2 linked regions of the Oryctolagus cuniculus genome follow. The protein of the gene in region 1 purifies or fractionates together with the protein of each later gene. This does not show direct contact. Links are inferred from orthologs where the notes say so. Each region holds a gene or a part of one and is shown in the gene's direction. Other genes may lie near its edges.

Region 1 (2,206 bases):
AACACTGTGTAAGACCAGAGCAGTCTGAACCTTTGTATAAAGGCAAGCAGATCTACCTACTCAGCCACACGGCTGTCCCTGTATTCCAGCACTGCATATATGAGGACATTAATAATCAAGAAAAGGTTAAATTACATTTTCTCCCTTTCTGTGATTTTATATACTCATATAGGACACTGCTGCATTTTAAGAAAACATGTAAATTATGTTCACTTTCTCTTTCTCCAACTAAAGCAGTTAATTATAGCATAAAACCTAAAAGCTACCAGAGAAAAATTTTTTTAAGAAATTAGTTTCCTGTATTAATTTTCTGGGCATTTGAAATGTGATTGGGTATATTTTACTGTCAGTTTACTAGTATAACCATTTCTGCTAGCTTACATTTTTATGGGCTCTGTAGCTAATCTTCTGAATGTGGAAAAGTCTGTAAACCTTAGGCTTTTCTCCAAGTCTGTGGGATAAATGTTGATTTCCTAAACCATTTAGATTCATTTAGGCAAAGTAAATATAATTGCATCATTTTAAAATCACCCTAACTTTGAACAATCATTAGGAGATCTGGTAGCATTTTAAAGGGCCTTCTGTGGTAACTTTGATGATAGCTATAACATTTTGTGTTTGATAGTTAAACTGTATTTCTTGTAAGCTGTCTTTCAAACTGAGCAACTAAAATAGCATGCTGATTTTCGCCAAATGGCTTATTTATCCTCATTCTCTTCTACAAAAGATTAAGAAAAGAAATGTAATATATGCTTTACAACTTTGTAGGTTTTCTTTATATTTTAGACTAAAACTAAAAATGGATATCTTATAACAATCTCTTTAAAGATATTACAGTAATGTAGACATATAACTTTTTTCTTTTTAAAAAGTATGTCATATTATAAAAATACAATATATAATATTCTAGTTTCCCAGATATAGAATGCATATGAGTGAGGTGAAGGGCTTATAGCTATGTCTATTTTCTTTATATTGTTCTACATTTTCCAAATTTTCTGTAATTTATTAAATTATTTTCTGTAATAATTTATTAAGCAAAACCAAAGGTTATTTTTAAAAATATTATCCTAAGTACAAATTATAAAAGAATAGTAACAAAACTAGCTAACAATTATTAAGCATTTAGTGGGTGCCATGGACCAGCCTAAGAGCTTTCACACATTATTTCATTAATTTTTCACAATAGCCTTAACATAGAAATTGCTCCCTTTTCCCATTTTCTGAAGAGGACCTGCAGGCATGTCCCAAGCCTCCCAACTAATCTGCAGCAGGTTAGGAGCTGGACTTGATATGTGTAGGCCAAGGCCTCTTGTAATAATAATCACCATTAGACCTAGAGTCGAAGAGAAAAATTCCAAATTTAATCTTGAAATTAAAAAGAGAACACATCTACATTGAACCACTTGACAAGTTGAAAAAGTTGCAAGATTTTGCACGTGTAATTTGACTTCTTACTTCAATAATCATCCACTCAGATCTTATAGGAGGATTCTTTGTAAATGAAATGTTCTTTATAGAAGAAAATTAATTTACATTAAAATATATATGTGTGTATGTATATTTTTTTTATGTTTTTAATGGTAGACTTGTGTACTAATACAATATCATCTTCTCCACAGAATGCAGACTATACCACTGGTCAGGTCTTTGATTTGTCTGAAAAGTTAGAGCAGTCAGAAGCCCAGCTGGGACGAGGAAGTTTCATGTTGGGTTTAGAAACACATGACCGAAAATCAGAGGACAAACTTGCCAAAGCCACAAGAGACAGGTAAGAATAAGAATAAGAATAAGAAAAAGATTCTTTTTACTTTCAATTCTCAAATAATAGTAGGAACCAAATTCCTTACAGTTCAAATTAGTCAGAATAATATCTGAACATTAAACTTCTTGGGACCTTTAAAAGTTGTCAAATGCAGATTTTAACTCTGAAAATTTAGGAGTCATTAGGTCAGAACATTAAAGGCTTAAATCAAAGATGTAGGCAGTGACATGGAATACTCCCAGTCATCTCTTCTAGTTCAGCTACAAAGTCAAAGAAAGAAACTAATCTTCCTTTAGGTCTTCAAATTAAAAAAAAATAAATAAAAGCAAGCCTTTGCCAAAAGAATCTCTTGGTTTATTGTCATATAAGCATCTGTAGAATTAAATTAAGAGATGTTGAAACTTAACAAATTTCAGGGTTTTTTTCATAAAGTCTTAAATC
Region 2 (4,004 bases), on another chromosome or scaffold:
AATCCGGCGCCCCAACCGGGACTAGAACCCGGTGTGCCGGCGCCGCAAGGTGGAGGATTAGCCTATTGAGCCACGGCGCCGGCTTCGGTGTCCAATAAGACTTAACTAACTGATCCCACAGTAAGATGCCACAAGTTGTGAATGGGTGATGCGCAGACTGAGCTGTCTCCAACGGGACGGCCCTGCCCCCGGCCTGTCTCAACTTCCACCACCTGCAGAAGACCAACCTGGCAGGTAAACGTCAAGTTGCAAAGGAGAGCCGAGAGAAATGCCCGAATAACATCGGGTGTTAGGACAGGGCTGTGTGAACTCACTTTATCACGTGGACTTGGAGTGTTTTCACCCAGGCATCTAAAAGCACGCAGCTGAACGTCGTTCAGAGAGTTCAGCCTTCATCCAAATACAGCTCCGAGTCGGGTGCTGCAGCGAATCCCGCGGGAGAAGCAAGGGGCTGGGCCCAGGTGGAAGAAATAGGAACAGTTCTCCACACCCGTCCCTCCCTGCACTTGGGGGCTGCAACCTCGGTTTTTAAAAGCCGGGTTTAGGGACAGCAACAAAGTGCACGTAGGGGCTGGCGAGGCCAGACGGGGGTTGTCCATCCCGAGGTCCTTTCTCCTTTCTATTGAGGGAGAACTTGGGTTCCAAGCGCGTTCTAAACGCTGCGTCCACTTCCGGCTACTTTAGAGAAAGTCGTCTGCCCTGGCTCGCTTCCCCGAGCCCCTTCCCTGCCTGCTCTGGGACTTAGTGGTGAGGGGTGAGCTCACCACTGGTCTCACCCTCTACAGCCCCAGCGAAGGCACCCGGGCAGGGGGCCTGCCCGCGAAGTGGGAGCTGCGGGGGAGAGCCGAGCTGGGCTGGGGTGAGGTGGGGGGTGGGGGATGGGGAAGGGAAGGGCAGGGCTCTTACCCCCACCCCCACCCCCGGCTTGGCGGGCGCCAGCAGAACCAGCTGGGCGGCGGGCCTCAGAACGAGGCGCGGGGGCGACCCTCGGGGCCCCTGGGCTCCGGGCCCGTGGTTGCCCTGGCGAGGAGCCGGGAGGTCGGCGCTTGGGGGCGGCTGCGCGTCCTAGACCCTGGCGGCCCCGCCCGGCCCGCCGCCCAGGCCCCTCCCTAGCGCCGCGGCCGGCCGTTTGGCTCTTCGGGGCCCGTCGCCTTTTTAATTTCTCCGCGGCCGGCGCAGCAGGTTTGCTGGCAGCCGCGCAGCCCCCGTCTGCAGGCGGCGCTCGGGGACGCGGGCGGGCGCCGGCCCCCGCGCCGGGGCCACCTTAAGGCCGCGCTCGCCAGCCTCGGCGGGGCGGCTCCCGGCGCCGCGACCAATGGATCTCCTCCTCTGTTTAAATAGACTCGCCGTGTCAATCATCTTCTTCTTCGTCAGCCTCCCTTCCACCGCCATATTGGGCCACTAAAAAAAGGGGGCTCGTCTTTTCGGGGTGTTTTACGCCCCCTCCCTTCTCTCCACTCTCTCTCCCCGCGGCGCGGCTCCGTCGGCGCAAGGTTTGGAGAGCGGCTGCTTGCGGAGACCCGCGGACTCGCTCCGGCCTGGACTCGGACCGGCCGGGTCACCCCTCCCCGCTCCTCCCCTCCCCTCCCCGCCCTCCTGCGCGCCCGCACTCCTGATCGGCAGCGGCGGCGGCGGCCTGGGCTGCGCGGCCGGGGCGTCCCCGCTCGGCTCCCGCACCCTGCGCGCCCCCAGGAGCGCGGGCGGCGACTGGTCTGGGTCCATCTCCCCGGGCTCTGAGCGCATTCGCGGGGCTCCGCAGCGTCGGAGCGTTGGGCTGCGTTCGGTTTTGTTTTGCGGAGAGCGCGCGCCAGAGAAGAGGCGGCGGGGTCCAGACCCGGTACGGGGCGAGATGTCCAACGTGCGCGTGTCCAACGGGAGCCCAAGCCTGGAGCGCACGGACGCCAGGCAGGCGGAGCACCCCAAGCCCTCCGCCTGCAGAAACCTCTTCGGCCCGGTGAATCACGAAGAGCTGACCCGGGACCTGGAGAAGCACTGCAGAGACATGGAGGAGGCGAGCCAGCGCAAGTGGAATTTCGACTTCCAGAATCACAAGCCCCTGGAGGGCAAGTACGAATGGCAGGAGGTGGATAAGGGCAGCTTGCCCGAGTTCTATTACAGACCCCCGCGGCCGCCCAAGGGCGCCTGCAAGGTGCCGGCGCAGGAAAGCCAGGACACCGGCGGGGTCCGCCCCGCGGCGCCGGTGGCCGCGTCCCAGGCCAGCTCCGAGGACACGCACCTGGGGGACCCAAAGACTGAGCAGTCCGACGGCCCCACGGCCTTGGCCGAGCAGTGCGCGGGGATGAGGAAGCGACCTGCCACAGACGGTAAAGACCCTCCCGGAGCCGAAAGGCGCCTCTGTCCTCCGTCAGTCCGTCGGTCCGTCGGTGCGCGCTCCCGCTCTGCCTGCTTGCGGCTCTTTAACTCCAGCCTATTCTGATGGGAGAGCTCGGGGCGCGGGTGGGGGGTGGAGGGAACGAACTTTTTTATTGATCTCGGGTTTTTGAATGTTACCCGGGAGGCTGCTGGTCTGTTTATAAAGGCAGAAGCCGGGAGATTGTAGGATCTGATCGTTTTGCCCAGGTTGAAAACAGCGCCTTTCCTTCCTACCCCTGGGTAGGTGACAAGGTCGGGATGTTGATCAGCGGCCTCCAACACCCCCCCCCACACACACACACCGGGTCAGGGTAGAGGAAGGTGCGGGGGCCCCATTTCTGTGTGGTGCAGACCACCTTCCTGGGGGCCGCCCCGTCCAGGACCGTGCGTGGAGGCGGTGGGTTTTCATCCCCCTGGCCACTGGGCCAACTTGTGCCGGCCATTGTTTCTTTTACTGAAGATTGTGTGTGTGTGTGTGTCCTTTAAATAATCTCCTCTTGCCTTTAGATTCTTCCCCTCAAAACAAAAGAGCCAACAGAACAGAAGAAAACGGTTCCGACGGTTCCCCGAACGCCGGCTCTGTGGAGCAGACGCCCAAGAAGCCGGGCCTCCGAAGACGTCAGACGTAAACAACTCGGTGGGTTCATCAAAAACGGACACCCCGCGCCCCAGAAAAACAAGCCCAGCTCTGACACCCTAGCTGGGCTGCAGGACCGGTCCCCCCTCCCCCTAATACCCATAGCCAGCTGCTGGGTGCTTGCAGGGTTTGGTTTTGTTTATATTTTGAAAAGGCAAAAAAGTAGCCATGGGGCTGGCTGGAAGTCACCAGCCGTTGGGATACTGTAATCCTTCAAGGTTTCTCTCTCTGGGGATGATTTTCCCTTGAAACACTAACCGCCTAGAGCAAGTACTTGTCATTTTCCGTGAGTCACACCCACACGGGTTGGGAACAATAGATTCCTCCTTCCATCTGAGCAAGAACTGGGGTGCCCCCTCAGTCCCCCTGTTCCAGAGCTCACTTCCTAGCCTATTCAAGTGGAGACAGTAACAGGTTTTGAGCCATACATGGAAAATTGGCCAACACGCAGTCAAAATTTAAACGTGGAGAGAAGAGTTGGTTTATGTGAGGGGTTAGAAATGTGACCAGGGAGGTGAGAGATTGTGTTCTTTTATCTTTATTATTTTTGTAAACTGTCATTTTCCCTTTTTATTGAATATGTTTTGGTCAGAGAAAAGGAACCTGTGTATTAAAAAAAAAAAAAAAAAAGCCAAAAGTGGAAAGCTCGAATATACTCAGATTCCTACGGAATTTCTGATAACACAGAAGCTGCAAAGCAGAAGTTAAGTTCACTGTGGCACAGTAAGCAGTCCAGGAACACGTCAGCGCGTATGCTAATCACACTGTTACCAGCATGATTTGGATATTTGTAGGGGAGATGTCAGGACTGGTGAGGGTAGGTTTACCAGTACAGGAAAAATGAAGTGTTTTCCATATACTAAAATCTGATCACGGTGGATGGCTCATTTGACTAATTCAGCTTCTAACTTTACCTGGATTGGCTGTCCCTCCTGATCAAACTACTTATATTAATAGTTTGGTGGCTTCCTATACACAAGGAGTGTGATCTCTC

What was found. The genes of interacting proteins can lie anywhere in the genome.
Region 2: the proteins of COPS5 (region 1) and CDKN1B purify together in Homo sapiens (affinity purification with western blotting; 11 studies listed by BioGRID and IntAct, with this or other methods). This does not show direct contact. The link is inferred for Oryctolagus cuniculus from reciprocal best matches to the Homo sapiens genes COPS5 and CDKN1B.

Annotation. Positions count from the first base shown.
Region 1 is NC_091437.1:92,672,087-92,674,292, reverse strand, and holds part of COPS5 (COP9 signalosome complex subunit 5), read left to right. Parts: intron 1-1,622; coding exon 1,623-1,771; intron 1,772-2,206. UniProt on the Homo sapiens protein: Probable protease subunit of the COP9 signalosome complex (CSN), a complex involved in various cellular and developmental processes.
Region 2 is NC_091440.1:110,363,093-110,367,096, forward strand, and holds the start of CDKN1B (cyclin-dependent kinase inhibitor 1B), read left to right. Parts: upstream 1-1,204; 5' UTR 1,205-1,849; coding exon 1,850-2,324; intron 2,325-2,880; coding exon 2,881-3,002; 3' UTR 3,003-3,010; intron 3,011-4,004. UniProt on the Homo sapiens protein: Important regulator of cell cycle progression. Inhibits the kinase activity of CDK2 bound to cyclin A, but has little inhibitory activity on CDK2 bound to SPDYA. Involved in G1 arrest. Potent inhibitor of cyclin E- and cyclin A-CDK2 complexes.